Schizosaccharomyces pombe: one gene and its partners. Changing the gene in region 3 together with the main gene of any one other region gives a genetic interaction. Each region holds a gene or a part of one and is shown on either strand. Other genes may lie near its edges.

Evidence for each region.
Region 1: of cdc14 (region 3) and ace2, a mutation in one rescues a mutant of the other (synthetic rescue), as found in Schizosaccharomyces pombe (one study listed by BioGRID).
Region 2: of cdc14 (region 3) and zfs1, a mutation in one rescues a mutant of the other (synthetic rescue), as found in Schizosaccharomyces pombe (one study listed by BioGRID).
Region 4: mutations in cdc14 (region 3) and mob1 are lethal when combined (synthetic lethality), as found in Schizosaccharomyces pombe (one study listed by BioGRID).

The regions. Positions count from the first base shown.
Region 1 is NC_003424.3:3,238,681-3,242,900, forward strand, and holds ace2 (DNA-binding transcription factor Ace2), read right to left. Parts: upstream 2,474-4,220; 5' UTR 2,288-2,473; coding exon 686-2,287; 3' UTR 552-685; downstream 1-551. Other genes in the region: SPOM_SPAC6G9.01C (uncharacterized protein), read right to left, coding at 2,883-2,890, 2,975-3,073, 3,472-3,652. UniProt on the Schizosaccharomyces pombe protein: Regulates the transcription of genes required for cell separation.
Region 2 is NC_003423.3:3,482,313-3,489,308, forward strand, and holds zfs1 (zinc finger protein), read right to left. Parts: upstream 5,135-6,996; 5' UTR 2,357-5,134; coding exon 1,142-2,356; 3' UTR 536-1,141; downstream 1-535. Other genes in the region: dynamin family GTPase Msp1, read left to right, coding at 1-297. UniProt on the Schizosaccharomyces pombe protein: Binds to specific AU-rich elements (ARE) in the 3'-untranslated region of target mRNAs and promotes their degradation. Binds to ARE present in the arz1 mRNA and stimulates the rate of arz1 mRNA decay.
Region 3 is NC_003423.3:2,330,511-2,335,570, reverse strand, and holds cdc14 (SIN component Cdc14), read right to left. Parts: upstream 3,446-5,060; 5' UTR 3,302-3,445; coding exon 2,579-3,301; 3' UTR 2,398-2,578; coding exon of another isoform or gene 1,294-2,397; 3' UTR 542-1,293; downstream 1-541. Other genes in the region: SPOM_SPBC24C6.09C (phosphoketolase family protein), read left to right, coding at 1-309; folliculin bhd1, read left to right, coding at 1,294-2,397; gpa1 (G-protein alpha subunit), read right to left, coding at 4,010-5,060. UniProt on the Schizosaccharomyces pombe protein: Has a role in the septation initiation network (SIN) required for cytokinesis.
Region 4 is NC_003423.3:468,883-471,988, forward strand, and holds mob1 (Sid2-Mob1 kinase complex regulatory subunit Mob1), read right to left. Parts: upstream 1,282-3,106; 5' UTR 1,244-1,281; coding exon 1,069-1,243; intron 1,012-1,068; coding exon 612-1,011; intron 564-611; coding exon 506-563; downstream 1-505. Other genes in the region: mlg1 (1-acylglycerol-3-phosphate acyltransferase), read left to right, coding at 1,770-2,822. UniProt on the Schizosaccharomyces pombe protein: Has a role in promoting the onset of septum formation during the latter stages of mitosis.

The DNA of each region.
Region 1 (4,220 bases), on a different chromosome or scaffold from region 3:
TTGTGTTTGCATAAGCTACGACGAGTTTTCGTATTTTTTGGTTCTTTGCAAATAGAAATGAATTATCTTTTCTCTTGCCGACAAAATTTCCTCCAATGACCAGCAATAATAGTTAAAACAATCATTGGTTTCTCTGTTTAAGTCATAGTGATTAATTTGTTGAATTATTATTATCATAATAAATGCTTGCTTGGCAGCATACTACAACCACTGTTTTCCAATGAAATACTTCGCATACTATAGTAATTAAATACAAGTTTTCCCTAGAAATACCAACTTAAACATATGTTGACTAAACATCGGTGCGAGTGAAAGCAAACACTAATTCTTACTCATGTATCCAAGTTGTTTGTCAGGTTTGGGGAAACTAGTTTTACCATTTCAGCCGTTCAACGATACGAACAACTTCATAGTTGTATTTCCATTTCACAAAGATTAATCTGTAGATTTTAGATGATGCAGAGTTATACACAATACTAGGGTGATGAATAAATATACAAAAGACAGATACAAGTTGATAAATTATCAAAATTGTCACAGCATTAGTTCATGTACGATGCTTGAATTTGAATTTATATAAAAGCAAATTAAAAACAATAATATTAGTAAAATTAAAAAATCCCAAAAAAAAACCAAACATAACTCATTATAATGCAATGCGATGCAAGTTGTACAGCTGTCATCATTAGTGCTGTCTGCGATCTACGCCGCCAACACATATATTTCTCTGCTTATGCCGATTTAAGGCATCAAGTCGGTTAAATCTCTTTAAGCATTCACATACATATGGCCTGCCATTTTCGTGAATCCTCAGATGACGCTTAAGATCGTGGTGACGAACAAAGCCAGCTTTGCATAAGTCACAGCGATACGGACGGTCGCTCAGATGTGTTTGAATATGCGATTCAACATTATATTTGCGAGCAATACGTTTATTGCACCCGTTGTACAAACAGACGTACTTTCCATCTGCTTCAGGGCCGCAATATAAGCTAGCCATTGTCTCCGGAGGAATTCTACAAATCCTAGTTGATTGCTTGCGAGTTTTGCATCTATGATCGTATGAAATTCTGACCGGAGGTTTGGAATCATGCTCGGTGACTTGAGGAGTAATTGATAAATCAGCAGATTCAATTTTTGGAGCTAATTGTTCTTCTTCCTTGACAGTGATACAAGGTTCAGGTTTCTTGGTAACTATGCAAGATTCATAAGGTGCACTTAATGCAAACTGCTGTGTCAAAGTGTTGTTGATATTTGCGTTCGATATGTCAAGTCCATGATCGCAAACGGATGAGAATTTTTCAAATTCAGAAACGTATTCAGCAGGTGATGATAACTTTGCAAACGCTTTCTGGTTGTCAGTATGCCTGCATACATCCAAATGGGAAAACGAAGAATCTAGAGCAAAGGAGGGCTTTTGAGGCGAAGTGGGCTCTAGCTTTACAAGTTGGGCAAATGGGGATACAGGGGAGATATTAGGTGCAGTCTCTGGACTCGATAAGTCTACAGGATGTGCCGGACTTGGTTGGGATATTTGAAAGTTCAATTCTTCAAATGAAGGCGCACCGTTTATCTCATCTAATCCAGGGGGAGAGGATGGGAGGAACATAAACTCATTAAATGATTCCAATTGCGAAGAGCTGGGAAGAACGGAAGAGGCAGGACCCGAGGTTTCAGGTATACTTGAGGAAAGGTAGTCGAAATTTTCGAGGTGATCTTTGTTGGAGCAAGTTTCCGTCTTTATTTCTGGTATGTCAAACTCAGGAAACGAAAGGACTTGTTGTTGAGAGTCCAGCTCATCAATCCAATTTGATGCATCATAACCAATTTCGGAAAAGGCCTGTTGAGAGTTGGTCAAGGAAAATGCGTCATTGTTATTAAAATTTTGCTCGGTATGGATTTGTGATACGCAAGTTAAAGGCGAGGAAGGGGGTGATAAGGAAGCATCAAAGGAGGATGCATACGAGTGAGAGTCGGGGAGCGATATTTGGTTCGATAAAAAGTATGCAGAATTCGCTTCCAACAAAGGGTTAAACGGTGTTTTTAGAACAGAACTATAGTCAAACTGATCTTGAAAGTTCTGAAGATGAGAAGGCGGTGAAGGGATAACAGCTTGATTTAAAGACACCTCATTTTCAAAGGGAGCGAAGGAGGAAAAAGAAGTATGCTTGCTATCGCCAAAAGTTTCATAATCCCTTTGGTACGAATGATTACAAGCTGGACTCTCTTCTTGTCGAAATGATTCAAACGACTTTTGCGAAGAAGATGATAAATATGAAAGCGACATTGTCTTGTTTACTTAGGATAGCGAGTATCTAGTGCAATGCGTAGAGAAATCAAGGAGAGAACGATGAGAGAAATGACTCTTGAAAAGAGTGCTTGATAACTTGAAGTGAGATGAAAGTGTGGCTCAAAGCCAGTCTAACCCAGTAGATGATTGAACTAATCACTCTTCGATTTTTTTTTGTTTGTTACAGCAATGTTTGGTGCGCTGGCTATTTGTTTATATCAAATAGCTACTCCGTTGCTATGACGACAATTGTTGAATTTTATGCTTCACTTTACCGCAAAACAAGTCACTATTTGTTTACATTGCATGGATTACCGAACCATATCACAACAACGCAATACAAGTGTAAACACAGACCCAGGGATTGTTTATTTACCTTTTGTTGCCAAAGGGACAAATCAACTATTTTTTGAATTAAACCAGTAAAAGGTTTGATTGAAAGACACTACCACTAATAAACAGGATAATCACGGCTATGAAAATGTCTACGCTTCAACAACTGGATCATGGATGATATTAGAAAACATAGATTAAGTATGACAAGCCAAAAAAAAACGGTAACCAACCTGAAAAAACGACAACGACGTTGAGATCAAAAACCTTAAGGTATTAGTATTAGTATAGAGCTAGCAAGAGAAAAAATGCCATGGAAAAGTTTTTAAATGCAATGAATAAGTTACTTACAACACTGACAATCAAAAGGGCAATCCGGTGTACCTCCACCTTGGCCAATGTTTAATTCCTCCTCGTCATATACAAGAAACCCTTCCTCGGTACGCTTTCCTAAAACACAAAACGTTAATACAATTACTGATGATAAGGAGAAAAGTGCCGTTGCTAGGTAAGTATTGCATCGTTCGGCAAACATTCCCGTAAACAGAATAGCGAATAAGGTTCAATACCACACAATAGAGCTTAATGATTTGGAGTCTCCACCAACACTAAACATCATTGTGAAATGTATCTCCCTAGAAAAACGTAATCTAGCTCTAGCAGTATATAATAAATAAATAAGTATATAGCACAGTTCGAAGTTTCTCAATCTTTTAGACAATAAATATGAATTTGAGGTCAAAGAATTGACAAACAACGCGGATGCCAAACATGAACGAATGCAATCATTAACCAAGTAGCGAGAACGTATGTAAGGATGAACTATCAAACGGCAAAAAGTGTCTTACTTCCTGAGGCTCCCTTTGGATCTAAAAATAAATCGTCTTGGTTATTAGTAGGTTTTGGACGACTTGGAGTAGATTTTGTCTTGGCTCCTTTCTTAGGGGCTTTCGCCTCCGACTTTGAGTCATTTGACTTTTCATTTGCAGGGTTTGCCTTTTTAGAAGCAAAAATGTCGTCGATTTCCATCTTTTAAATACTCGTAGAGAGGAGTTTGCCAAGTCAATGGCAATTGTATAATTGAGTAGAGAGACAGTTTGTTGTAGCTTGCAAACTTGCTAGAAATTCTTTTGCGGTACCGTGCTTCATAAAATAAGAATTCTCTAAAATGCTTAAATCTGCATAACGTATTCTCTCGTATTACGGTAAAGAATTTGTAATATTTATAAGAATGATTCTTCAGAAGAAACTTGTACCAGCATTAAGGCATGAGATTGATCGATTCCTTTTTTTTCCTTTGGTTCTTTATTATGTTTAAAATTGTTTAATTTTGTTTAGAAGCTGTATCACCTCTGTCATCGGTATTTCGAAACGGCAATAAAATGTAGACAATTCTTTGGCCAAGCTTTCTTTATAAAAGCATATTTAGGTCAACTCTATCCTAATACCATAAATTAACACTTTTTGTCTTCATTTAAGAAGCGAATTATTGCTGTATCAAATTAACAAATGCAAAATCTCATTGCTTAATAAACGAAATACTTTAGTAATTAAGCATAAGATAAAAATAAAGTGAATACTATTTGACAATGAAAAT
Region 2 (6,996 bases), 1.2 Mb from region 3:
GAAGCGAAGTACACCTGTCCTGAAATTTTTTTAAATGCCGTTTCTGATAAACTGGTTAATACCGCAGTTTTATTTATTAATATTGAGCTGCTTTCTGAGTTTTATTACCAATTTCCACGTGAACTGGATCAGCGTCTCATCCATTCTTTGAGTTCTGAACAGTTGAATGCATTTGTCAATGAAAATCCTCGTCTCAAGTCACAGCTACAGTTGCAGCATAAGCGGCAATGTTTGGAATTGGCTCTGCAGAAGATCAATTCATTAGTTATCTTGGAACAGCAAGCCGATAGCGATTAAATAACGAGTAAAGTAGTCCGAGTTTAATGAATTTTTTTAACTAACTTTCCAAAAATGCTTGTATGTGTTACTATGTATAGCCTGGTAGTTTTCTCGTGAATAAAATTGTTTGTAAGCAGTACAGAATTGCGTTACAAATTTTTGATGCATATTGCAAATCTATGTTTATGAAAAGTGCACAACATTCAAATAACTACTTAAATTTTTGCAGTAACGTTACTGTTATTCAAATAATACATAGGCTTCGCTCATCAAATCTCCCTGATTGCATAAATCATTTTCGTAATAAGATTGGGTATTTTAAGAAACTCCCTTGATTCGAATTATAACAGTATATTACAGATACCACACAAATCTAATAAAACCCCGATTCATGCGTATCGCATTGCTAGACGAAGTAAACAAGATTCGAATTTAATACTATAAATATATATTGTCCAATCTTCTCATAACTCTTTAAATCGCCATTCTGCAAAAAGCTAAAGGTACATGATTTGCAAAAATAAAAACAGTACCCTGACATATGACAGAGTAACTAACTCATGATCTTCTTTAATTTTTTTCTCTTATAAATTCTATCTTGACCAATAAGGTCATCAAATAAATAAAGAATAAAGTGTGAACATGACTGGCAAACTCAAACCTTGCGATAAAACCATAAATAAAAACAAGGTAAAGGCGATTGCAAAAGAAAAGCTCACATAATGTTACAGAAGAACAATATAAATAATAACCGTATAAGAAAACCAAGGAGGATAGGAAAGTAAGCGTCATAATAAATTAATCTCACCCAGATTGCATAACAACAAAGAACAAAAGTCATCTTATACAAGCTGATGTGATATCAAGGAGATTGCTTAATAGTTGCACTTTTTTGAGCATTGGATTCATCATGCAAAAAGCAGCATCGCAATCCGTAAGGACAATAACCATACATCATGAAAGATCGGCAACGCTCGCTTTTGTATTTTGGGTGACGAGGAGGTTCTTTCAGTTCCTGGTTGCCATGCGCAAATTGACATTTAGAGCCATAACGGCAAGTTCCACTAATTTGCCAATTCTTGCAAGGCTCGGTCTTATATAATGCGCGCTTGCCGTTGGGAGCTACCCCATTACTACTGCCAGAACCATGAGGATGGCTAGCTGAACCCTTAGCTTGGCGAAAATCTCCTGCAGCTGATGGTTGAGGAACGAAAGGTTTGGAAGCCTCAGTAAGAGGACTATTACCCGAAGGTGAAAATTGCTTTGATAAATTGGAAGGAGCATTGCGAATTGAGGCATTCGATGCTGTAGGCTTGATGGGAATAACCCCCGCTGAATGCGATTGTCTAACTAACGACGGTTTAGCAACAGAGTTGCGGATGTTTGTCATTGATTTCGATTGAACGCACAGCTTAGGTTTTCTAGACATGGTAGATTCCGGTTGACCATGAACAAAAGGAAACGAAGTTTGAGAGTTCTCATCGACGGATACAGGGACGCCAGCCATGTTCAAAGACATGGCCAGTGATTTGGAATCATCGTGGAGATTGGCAAGGCCGGAAAAATCAAGACTACCACTACCAGTGCTACTACGAGAAGGAAGACTCTCCAAGGATGATATAGGTGAAGGATGATTGCTTGTGTTTCCATGAGGAGAACTACCAGAATGTAAATAGCTAGTAGCGTTGGAAGAAAGTAATGAAGGTGTCCATGCGTATCCCTGTGGGTTAGAAGAAGAATTGTGATGCCATGGCCAACCGTCCATTTCAGGAGAAACAGATAAACTTGAATCCAATGGACGAAGCTGGGGCATGACTGAAGAAGGGAAAACTTCATCAGAGGCGAGAAGACTAGATGTCTTTAAACTGCCCAAATTTGTAGATGGCTTGTGAAGTAAAGATGAGGAGTTGGCGTAGGAGTCAAGGAATGATGGACTTATTAAACTGGGTCCTGCATTAACAGACGTAGTAGACTGAGATAGTTTTGAGTTGACAAGGGGATCACTCTTATAATTGTAGGGGGGCCATTGGCGAAAAGCCAGAGGTACTTGAGGTCGAGACATAGGAGAATAAACCATGGTTAAAAGAATAAAAAACAGACACGCAATAAATTAATGAAGTTCACTAGAAAAAAGTGATACAATAGAAGATTAGTTATAAACGAACAAAGAAGTTGTAAAATGAATCAAAAAAAGGTTGCGCAGAATAACTTAAAAAATTCCAGTAAAAAACTTGTGTTAAATAGAATTATGGAATCAGGAACTTGAAAAAAACGTCAACCTTCAAAATAGAATTACAGGGTAATCACCGAAAGTAATATGCAGAAAAACGAGAGAAACGTAGAGTTAAAAAGAAAACACGCAAATTTAAGATGAAAATCAATAGTATAGAGACGCTGTTTTTTCAGAAGTCGAACAGAAAAGATACAAGAAAACGGAGAGAAACCACACAATGATATAAGGAAAGATTTTGAGAAGGAAGTAAAAGTATAGAAGACAAAAGTTTAATAGATGGATGTATTGTGTTTGTGACCCAAAGCAATCCTTTTCAAAAAACAGTCGTCAAACAAAGAAAAAATCCGAGTTGAATGCAAATTTTAGGGAATAAAATTTAAACCAAAAGAACAAAAACGCCTTTTTTTTCTCTGAAGTAAGTGAATACAACAGATGAACATAAAACACAAATCTCAAAACACAACAAAATGAGACTAATCGTAAATCCTTAATGTATAAAAAAACCTAATAAGGGAACGCTTTTAATATACGAAGCACAAAAAAAAGGGAATTTGCGGATATAAAGGGAAAACGTTAAAGTTAGTGCCAATGTGCAAGGTGAGCATCAAACAGGAGTTTTATCACTGATATAGGATAAAAGCGAGATTTGAAATGAAAAAAGAGTGAGAATTGATGAGGAGAGTAATCAGTAGAAAGAAATAAGAAATTGAAACAGAAAAAAAAATTTCAAAATCGAAAGATGGGGTGTTTTTTCAGCAAAAGATAATATCTTGTCCAAAGAAATATAGGGATTATCAACCAAACCGACTATTGCTGCAAAGATACAAAAGTGGGATGGAGAAAAGAACAGAGCCCAATTTAAAGTATTTTAAATAATTTCTCTTTTAGAGTACTTTAAAAACGTCGAAAGAAATGGCGAATCAAAAGAATAAATCAATATCAGATAAGGATTGCCACAAAAAGCTTTAAGGGGATATGCGAAAGTTTCAACAAATAAAACGCAAATATACTAAGATGTTAATATATCTGTTACGTTAAACAGTAATTGAGAGCGTTTAGGAGCTCTTTTGCTTCGATATCAGAAAAGAGAAATAAAATTGAAAAGAGAATGGTTTTCCAACAAAGAAAAAAACCCAGAGCTTGACTCAGAATGAAGAAGAGAAAACAAATCTAACAGAGACAAGAAAACCGGTTGAAAGGAATAGACTAAAACAAACAGCTACGAAAACAACTTTCAATCCGAGATAAATGTTTTGTCAACGTAAAACGGAATTTTTTCACACTGCAGAAAAAAAGTATTCAACGGAAAGAACAAACGGTATCTCAGGCAAGAAATTGAGAAATTGAGAAAAAGGATGAGATGCCGATATTCAAACAGTGATGAATTTGAAAAAAACAGACACACACACGGACACACAAAGAAAGATTCAGCAAAGTCAAAAGGCTTTCAACTATTCTGGAGGAAAGTGTTGTGGTGGTAAGTCGGTAAGTTAGAGGTCGATGGTAATAGAAGTTGGTTGAACGATTACGTTGTTGTTTCGTCCTGTCCTGTCTGGTCCCTGACCTGTTATGTTGATGCAGAGAAGAAGAAAAAGGGCGGCTAAAAGCAAATAACACAAACTAAGAATAACGAAATTCGCAACAGCTCGTAAAAGTGTCCGAAAAAGAAAAGACGGAAAATTCCGGTATATATAGAAAAGGATTAATCGGTGGAAAAAAAATGAAGGATTGATGGCTAGATGGAATACACAGTGCGTGTGTACGTTTTAAAAAAAACCCAAAAAAAATTGCAAAAGGAGAAAAGGGAAAGCTAAATTGTAAACGGGTAAGAAGGAAAGCAATATAGCACGCGATTGACAACCGTTCCAACAAGAAAAATTTTTCCAAAGAGAAAAAGCCGCGCACTAATCGTAATCGAGTTAGCCGTAGGAAATAAAAATAAATAAATCCCAAATAAGTAGGTGCTTGGTAATATAGAAAAGTGGTTCCCTCTAATGATGAAATAGTGCAATCAAGGAAGGAAACGTAGATATTAAAATGGAACAAACTTGCACGTGTTTTTGAAGGAAAGGAAGAATTCTAGTAATGTCAAGTCACTTAGCTTTGCTGTTGATACAACACAAGCCGATTAGCAAAATATTGTAGAAGAGAAGCAGAAAGTCGTGATAAGAGAAAAAGAGAAAATCGACAGAATAAAAGAAAATTGTCAAAAACCACAATTGTATACGATTAATCAATTTACAGCACGTAGCAGGTCCGGTCGAAAAGGAGGAGCAAGGCTAGGAAGCCAGCAGTTTCAATGTCGTGTCGGGCAAGAAGGAAGGAAAAGTGAGTAAAGTAAAGTAAAAGAGAGCACGACAATAGTGTAGTACACAGTATCCAAATATGCTAGGACGATAACAATAGTGTTTCGATACGCAACGACCCCGGTACAGAAATTGAGGTTATTTCAAGGTTACACGCAATCAATATATATATGGGACAACAAAAGAGATGAAATTTTTTTTTGTTTAAAACACAAAGAAACCAATTATCAATGTGTTAAGATTAGTTAATTGTGTTCGAGCATCAATGCCACTTTATACTACGTAAAGTCAACGACCTAGAAGATGTCGAAAGAGCAAGTTGATGGACTCAACAAGCCCTGTGCTTACAAGTTGTTTAAAAGTGGGGAATGTCGGTAAAATCAGTGGTATGTGCAAAAGACACTCAGTGCGGATGTTGTGGCGCAGTACACTACAGTGTTGAAATGGAAAGATGGCAAACGTGAGCAAGGACAGATGGAGGAGCTTTCAAAAAAAGAAAAATTTACAAAGTAAATTAGAAAGTCATAAAACAACTCCGAGAATAAAATTATCGGTAGAATTACAATAGGGAAAGGGGAAGCATTGCATAGAATGGCGGTGTATTGGTTCGAAAAGTGCGTGCTCTAAAGGAATGCGATTTAAAAAAAGTAGTACAGTATTAGTTGTTTTAGGTAAAGACGAGGGAATTGGAATAAATTTTTTTGATGCAGGCTATTTTTTAATTTATGAGCAGTTCTATATTCTATATGAAACAAAATGTATTGGTATTTTATTTTATTTTATTTTATTTTATTTTATTTTATTTTATTTTTACACATATTATCAAAAAGAATAGTTTTTCGTTTTTGAACAAATTTTTTTCTAATTTCCTTGGTGTAGATGCATGCATGGCAATAGCATGTTTGTTATCCCTTCTACACGCAATCTACTGTGGGCACAATCCCCAGTGTTTGTTTGGTAATTGTTCTTCCATTCATTGGAGAGTATTGGCGATAAATTGTAGCTGATTGGGATAATGAACGGAAGACACGTACTTACCATTGCTCAAAAGGCCCAGAAAGTTTACCTCCACACTGGGGCGTGTTCAAATCTACATTGTAAAGTAAGATAGCGGGATGGTCTTTGAGCACGATAGGATCCGGAAGCATGCATACGAAGCTGGAGTTCTCGACTGGACAGCTCATTTTTACTACAGACAAATGTGGTCATACGGAGGACTAATAAAAATTACGGAAGGCGTTGTTATGCATCGGCAATGCTTTTGCTTAGAGTAGCAGCGGGAGATGGAGATGGCAAAACGAGTTGCAAGAACCATCCATCAAAAAGACATAAACAAACGTAAAAAAGACAAGAGTAAGGATATCTAAATAAAAGTTGAAAAATGGAATAAATGAATAAAGTACAAATGAAATTGATGAATAATTTGAAATATAAAAGCTATTATTGACAGTATCTGAGTGATGATTGAATTTTGGCAAACACGACGGAGAATACGAATTACGGCATGATACAAAAGATAGTCTACCTAATTTTGGGTTTCAAAACTATTTTTGTTTAAAAAAAATTTTTATTAAATTATTTATTGATATTTTCTTTATTTTTTTTATTTTTTTTTATTTTGGCAAAGGGAGAACGAGGAGGGGTTAAGGGGTCGGTCAGGTGTTCAGCTAGGAGGAATTGCGCTATGTAAAAGAACAAAGGGAAGTTGATCTTGCTAGTAAAACAATATTAAAATATCAAATTATAATAACAATGATAATACTACTCAAATCGAGAAAACGGCCGATTCGCTTTCTTTAGCATGTTGCTTGGGTTACAGTGGGTCGAGGAAAAGCAAAGAATTGAAAGTACCCCATCCATCATACATACCCCTTTATTCTCGGTAAAATGATTTAACAGAAAACAGAAAAACAGAGATTTCTAGACCTAAGTGTCTTCATTTTAAACATATAGGCGTTGCTAGTGAAGCAAATCCATCGTATCATGATGAATTCATCAAAACCGGCAATCACAAATTGTCATTGTACGAAACACGTAAAACTGGTAAATTCATGCCACATGCGTATCGACCGAATGAACTGACTGATGATGGTGAAAACGTACACTCAATTCATATACGGAAGTTTAGTCAATAATGTGTTGTGTAACGGAATAATCTGTTATTTATTATACTGTAAG
Region 3 (5,060 bases):
GACTTGAAGGCTCTCTTGTTTGATCGCATACAAGGTACACGGGTCACTATGGAGGGCTATCGAGAGGAAGGTACTACTACCACTCCTTTTAATATGATGATGTGTAACAATACCTCTCGTTATCATGTTGCAAGAATGGCTTTGCAACATGCTTTACACAATCCTACCGTGGCCGTTAATTGTAACATGTTGTGTGCCAAATATGCTTGGAAGCTCGAAGAGATTGAAAATTATATTATGGAAAACAAGGATGATCCTCCTGAAATTTATGCTGCTCCTGTCTTTAAAAATAAGACTTCCACATTATAGATAGAAATGGTGCATTCTTTTTGTTTATATAATGATAATTCTACAGAATTTAAATAAAATTACATCTGTTTTTGTGTTAATTAAAACGTTAGCATATCTTGTAGTGTTGGGGTGTACCCAAACATTGGTTGGTGGTATCACTTAGGTAGCTAGCTGACTTGGATTTGCCCGGTCGCGCGCATATTGCAATTGTGTTTTACACGATTTAATATACCAATTCTTATATACATTACTATCAATAGTTTGTGGCTGTATTTAGTAATCGAAACAGTAGAGGCACTAATTGATACCTTACGCTTTTTTGTAGCTCGTCAGTTTTTAACCTCTTCCTCCCCCTCTCAACGCACTCGCATTTTTACTTGTTTTCTATGAAGGTCGTTTTCATTTTTGAAGTTTCTTAATTACTAGCTTTTCGTAAATTCCCTCATTTGCGACTCTTCAGCATTCCCCTACAATATCGGAAATGTGGAACTTGGTATAAACTTCTGAACATTCTATTCCTTGAAGTGAGAAAATCAACCGCTTTTTCCAAACAGAAAAACTTTTTTTTTAATTCTTTTAATGTAAACTGGACAGATTCTAGTGTGTTTATTATATTTTGGTACTGTGTGAGATGAAGACGCACACATATATCCTCTAATTTATCAGGAATTTTCATATCAATTTCAGTATCTGGAGCGTTTCAAGCTCTTTAATCCATTTTTTTTCTAATCCTCAATCTTTTCGAAATACCTCAGTATAACTGAATGTTTGCTTGGTAAATCGGTAAAGTACAAAAGGTTGTTTTCGAACGAATGCACATCTTACATTTTATCGACTTTAAAACGTATCACCTTATTAATCATTAGATTTGAAGGCATTATTTAGAAGCTATTATACACCATCAAAACTTTTCAAGTTCATTGTCGCTTTCTAAACATTTGCTTTCAGATCGCCTTTGTCAACTAAACACTTTTATCTCACCAAATTTCCATAATAGTCATAATGGATGTTGTTTTTGCTCTTGGACATTTCTGTGAGGCCGAGGGGCCTTCCATTATTTTTTGCACTCAAAAATTGCATCGCTCTACCGTTTCAAAATTTTTTGAGCATCCTACATCTAAGCGCTCTATTGGCGTAACGGAGAATGGTAATGATTCACCAGAAGCCTTCAAAAATGAACTCGATAATCGAAACAATGCCGATTCTCAATCTTTACAAAGTTCTACCGAATCACTTTTCAAAGCTGATTCTGAAGATTATTTATGTAAAAAGGTATCGAAAGGACCAGAATCCCCCCGAGTAAACTCATTTCATAACTCATACTCTCGAAATCAAAGCCCTATTTCGAGAAAATCATCTTGTGTTACATGTAGTACTGTTTTACCCCTTGAATTCTCTGTACCTGATGTTCAACCACGACTTTATACAAACTCAAGTACAAACCCCGATGTTTTATACATGTCTAGTCAACATCCACATACTCAGCAACGATATTCTACCCTTAAGCGATTAATGGTTCGCTGCTTGAGCTGTGAATATTCAACACTATCTGAAGCTTCCGATTCTATGTCAAATCCTTTGTTCTTTGGAGACCAAGATAACGGTTACGTTATTAGTCAGTCTTTTTCTTTAAGAGATCCCTCTGCCCGGGGAGGACTTCGAAGATATGCGATTATTGCTACTTGTCCAAATCAGTTAGATTTGATTTTGCGATATAGTTTTATTTCTGAAAAGTTTCTTCATATAGTCCAGTTTCTAAGGATTTCTTCTTTCAATACAAAGAATGACTACTCCTCCTCCCGTTCAAAAACAACAGCCTCCTCTAGCAATGGAACGTTTGCATCCCCCAGTTTTAACATTTCTTCGTTATCGGGTTCTTCAAATATAGGAACTGCTCCTTCGTATGAGATATCCTCTAGTATCGGTGCAAATGTGTCATCTTTGGCCCACACACAAAGACTTCCTTCTTTCAGTTTTTTGCGTCGTCGAGACGATATTGGGGAGGGACGCAGTTTAGTTGATATCACATGTTGGGACGGAATCTTTGTCGGTCTTCACAGTTCGTTTAGCTGGATTCTGGAGGTTTGGGATCTCTTAGTAGTATGAAAGTAAAACTGGTTGACTTTTTACAAATGCTATAGGATGCTGGAATACTTTCAATAGTAAGATGATCGATTAATAATTTAACATTAACATTAGAAATTCTTTAGTAAATGAATACTAAATTTTCAAAAATAAGTTAACAATGAGACTTTAAACATTTTTTTGCACCAGGCATTGCATCTAACTAGTCGAATGTTTCGTCTAACTTGCCAAATGGTTGAAACTTATCTAAATCATCTCGAAGCCCTTGTACGTTAGAAAGATATTTGGATAGGTAAGCTTGTTTCTCAGTCCGCGTTTTCCTGTAGGCAATGACATCTATAGAATATGGTTCAGGGGATAAATAGAAATAGAAAAATTCGAGAATTTGAAATCGGGTGTCCTGACTTGTTTGTTTGTGCTTAAAAACTACGCATATCTGCTGCAAGCCATTAATCTGCTCAAAAAGCCTAATAGCCAGTGGACGATCTGCCATGATACATACAAGCGTTTTCATTGCAGCCACTTGCAACATAGATGGCTGAGATGGCTGTAATAAATGAATAAATAACCTTAAGGTAGCTTTATCTTCAAATAACGTCTGTGATTTTGGATGGATTAAAACCAATCCTTCAATCACATGCAGTAAGTCATCAATTAGCTTTTGAATGAATTGAAAGTTTTTTTCGTATGCCTCTTCATTCTGCTGATATTCAAGGAGACTGTCCAAAGCGTAAATGCAAGGGGTAGTAGAATTATACAATGGTGAATCCTGTAATTTTAGGAAAATTTCTCTTGGAATTTTATCATCATGACTAGGTTTCGCAACATGATATACAATAGATTCGACTTGACGCAAACCAATTCGAATTAGCTTTGGATTCCTCATACACAAATGCTGTTTAGCATTGTTTAATAGATCTTCCATACCGGATCATTATTTACTCATGCCAAGCGGGCAATAAAAATCCTTATTATAAATAAAAGTAAATTGAATCTTCGTTTAGTTAAAGATAAAAAAGAGACTCTATATTCGTTCTTAGTAATGATATAAATAGTAGGGTGGAGTGTTGAAGCAGCTACATTAAATTGCTATTTTCTAAAACTTGAGGTTTTGGGAGAGAAAACACCAGCTTGCTAAGATAGGATACAATTGAATATTAACAGGCGAATTGGAGCCATATTTGAAAAAGGGGCCTAAAATAACAAAACAAGCAACATCGAGTCCTTATAGATTTATATTTAGTTTACGATCAAATCCGCCTAATTTAATTATATTAATATCAATGGGTTTAGTTTGTCTCAAACGGTTGACATGAAAAAATTTAGATATTAAATTAAACAATAGTTATGTATTAATCGTAAAATTATCAAATAACAAAAACTGCAGTTAATTTTGAGCTATTTAAAACAATATAAGATTACACGAAGCTTCGAAGAAGCTATGAAATAAAACAATTAGAATGCACTAATTAACAGTTTCGATGGAGAAATAACACATGAAGTGCATACAAAATGCAAGGAAATTAACTAGAGACACCATTCACGGAAAAGTATAGAGGCTTTTCCTAGAGTGCGAATGAAAGTAGAGAAATGAGACAGAAAAGATTATGAAGATAGTTAAGGAAAAATTCATCTAAAACATAAGTGACTGTAGATTGTTGGACATAATCGTATCTTGAACGGATACCATTACCCTTTGGAGCAAACTAGTGTCTGTAGCTGTGGTAAAATGGCAATAGCAACTACGAGAAGCGATGCGATTAAGACTTTCAAACTTTAAGTAAAAGTAATACATACCGCTTCGAACTGCGTTGTCGGCAAGAGGGCATTGAGTTTGTACGAATGTTGGTGTTGAACCAACTTCTTGGTAATCAGGAAAATGCTTCTGGATGGGGGAAATGTGAACCTTTCTTTTAAATAAATCAAGTTTATTTAGAAAAAGTATCATTGCTGATTCTGAAAACCAGCTAGAGTTACATATGGAATCCCATAATAATAACGCCTCCTGCATCTGATTTCCTGAATTGTCCTCTACAAGGCATTGATCGTAACCTGCCAAAGAAACGAGAAACAACAATGCAGTGACATTTTCAAAGCAATGAATCCATTTTCTGCGCTCTGATCTCTGTCCTCCTACATCAAAAAATCGGTAATGATGACGATTTAACAGAAATGTTTCTTCTGATATACCGGTCGTCTTGATACGACAGTGAAGGATATCTTGATCAGAAGGTATATATTGTGGGTCAAAAATTCGATCAATGTGATCTTGATAGTAATAAAAATTGTCTAACAAAGAGAGGTTGGTACCACAACTTTGCACCGTACGAAGTTTGGTATCCAATGTCAAGGCATGAACAGCTTCATATATTTCTGGAGAAAATGGCTCATTGGGTTGAGAAGTGTGTTTTCTTAGGATAACTGCCCGATACTTCTCATTTTCCGGAAGTAAAGAGACATTACTATTATCCATAGCTTCAAGAAGAAGACATAGAGAGGAGATGATATTTTCAAAAATCATCACTCGATACTGCTTTCTAACTACTTGACTAAAACCGGGGCTATACAATAATCTCATCTGCTTCATAATGGTCGTTTTCCCACTATCACCGGCGCCTAAGAGCAAAACTTTAATGTCATTTCCACCTGAAGTAGAATTTCCTTTTACGCGTACTCCAGAACTT
Region 4 (3,106 bases), 1.9 Mb from region 3:
AAATAATAGGGAATTAAAAAGTTCAGATTATTTCGCACATTTACTATCTCACATCCACCACCATTCAGTAAGTAGTTTCTCAAATAACGATGCAGTCTTTTTCGGTATTTAACAGAAACCTGAAATAAAGATTCCAGAGACATATGATACATGAAATGTTATAAATAAAATGAATTGTATGAAGATAGACACTTTAGAGAATGCGAGAATATTTTGCACAAGTAGCCTATGCAAAGGCGATATGCCACACTTTTCAAAAGTAGTTAAAAGAATGCAGTGTCATAAGAAAAAAGTGGAGGAGTAGAAAGAGTAATTTTAGCAACTATTCTTTATGGTAATCACTCAAGTGAATGATTGAAATGAAAAGAAGAAATTTTCCATAAAAAATTGTGCTAAGGTCTGGATAAAATGGTAATGGTAGGGATAAAATAAAACATTAAATTGGTAAGTTTGGGAACCGAGTTTACCTCCCATTTCCTGTTCCTGAATAACTACAAAACTGTTCTTAAACCATGCTATCTACCAAGTCTTGCATTGGTGCATATTCCTTGTTATCCATAAGGCTGAAATTTGTTGTTAACATCTTTAAGTAAGTAAATTGAAACACATACCCAAATTCCCTACAGAAAAATACAAAGTGTTTAAATGATGTATTCAGATAGCTTTCAAGCTCCATTGCTACCATTACGTGAAAGTGGGAACAGTAAATATGAGCATAAATGCGAAACAACCTTCGAAATATTTGCTGAATCACTTTGCGAAAATTCTTTGGGAATTCAACACCAATCTCAGTGGGGAAGAGCTTCTTGTCATCCAACTTTTCTTGAGTCCAATCCAACAGATTGTTAATATAGTCGGGAGCACTCATGCGAGTGGGTTTGGTGTATATTTTATCATCCTGCCAGTAATATTCATAACTTGGTCCAGCATTCATTTGAGGACAGGAAGCCGCCGTACAAAATTCAGTGATTGTACCATACAACATATTAATTTGTGTATAAAAATCCATTGCTAGAAGTATTCAATTAATAAAAGTTCTTGAAGTGTCAATTTTATATCTTAGCTTACTGTTCATAGCAATCCATTCATTCAAATCTTCTCCCTTGGGCAGTTTTACTGCTTCCATCAAAGAGCCAGATCCCAGCGTTGCTTCAGCATATTGCCGTAGTTGATAATGCTTCGTTCCCGCTTCAGTCTTCCTTACACGGAATGTCTTCGCTGTCTTATTACTAAATCCAAACATGAAAGAAAATGCAAAAAAGTTGGTATGAGTTGGGTTCTGGTAGGCTTGGTTTGTGCCAACCTTCCACTCATCGTCCCTTCCTCGTAAACAAACGTGGTCATTCTACCGTTCAACTTTCAAGACCATCCAGCCAACCAATATTAAGCGCAAATTAATTACTGGAATACCTATCATATTCATACGACCGTATGTTTAGGTCCGAGCACTTTTACAAATTGACAACGTACGATCGCTACTTCTTTACCCACTGCCTATAACCACTGACATTCCCTGAATTACACTTTGGTGCTAAACGTGCGGCTAAGAAATTAAAAAGAAAGCAGAGAGCTTTTAATTTTCTTTTTGGGATTTTTTTTGCTCAAATTGGTGTCTATTTAGTGTTCGTGTACGACTTTTACTGTGCGGTGAGAAACGCGAAAGGGCATCACTAAAACCGACTTTGCTAACTTTCTCTGGATTCTATTTAACAGTCTTTTATTTCTTGAGATTTGATTTAGGTTCCTTTAATTCATTTAGGTTTGACAACATGACATGCAGAATTGCGATTCGCAAGTATTCATTCATATTATGTTTGGCTGTTGGTTCAGTTACCATTTATACCTCGGAAGTTATTGGAACTCCTCTGTATTTTGTCAACAAGGAGCTTTATAACAAATATATTGCTTTTACAAAATCATTCGCCGGTATTCTGTTTACCGCTTTGGTCCAGCTTTTTAGTCCGACTCCTGTAACTCTCACCTATGATCCCGAGCTTCGAAATTTGTTTTATTTGGATAGAAATGGTTGCTTGGAAACAATTGCTGCTGAACGCAACATAGTTATCGCAAACCATCAACTTTACTCGGACTGGATGTACGTTTGGTGGTTATCGTACACTGCTAAACAGCATGGTCATGTTTATATTATGTTAAAAAACTCTCTCAAATGGTTGCCAGTTATAGGTTGGGGTATGCAATTGTTTAGATTCATTTTCCTTTCTCGCAAATGGGACAAAGACTACGAGACTATGTCTCGTCATTTCAAGTTCATTCGCAATGTACGTGATTCCGTCAGTCTCATTCTCTTCCCAGAAGGAACCAACTTGGTTGAAAGCACATATCAAAGGAGCAGGGTGTATGCCGATAAAATTGGAGTCAAAATGCCAAAGCATTTAATGCTCCCACGTGTGCGAGGGCTCTTTTATAGTATCAGTCAGCTTCGTGATTCGATGACTTATTTGTACGATTACACATTTTATTTTTCTGATCCCTCTCCTAAGAAATATGCCGCCGATGCTTTCTCTTTACCTAAGCTCTTTTTTGAAGGAGTCCCCATCAAAAGGCTTCATATTCACGTTCGTCGCTTCCCAATTTCGGAAATTCCCACTGAAGAAGATCAGTTTACGGATTGGCTTTATCAAAGATGGTATGAGAAAGATAAACTTATCGATACGCTTCTTGAAACAGGGAATTTTCCGGGCCCTAAGAAATTGCATACGACTGTTCGATTGAAGCACAGACTTGAAATTCTTTCTTTGTTTTCCGTACTTTTCACGTGCATTGTTGCTGGGTTGTTCCTCAAACTATTCATTTCTCACTAGAAAAAACTGTTATTTATACCCATTTCTTTCCATTTCCCTAAACCATATGGTTGAAAAGTTACCCATTTACACTACATAGATTAACTGATTTTCATGAACATTTTTTAACAGATTGCAAACTGGATTTTCAGTGTTAAGGAATTACCGCATACATTGCGGACGATAGTTTTATAGTCATTAGCTTTCTCTTGAGCTTTGAGATTTCGAGATAAATTATTCTGTACACTTTTTCTCCTTACAACCATCCTCTTTGCCTGTAGACGGCCTACAATCTACTGTTTCAA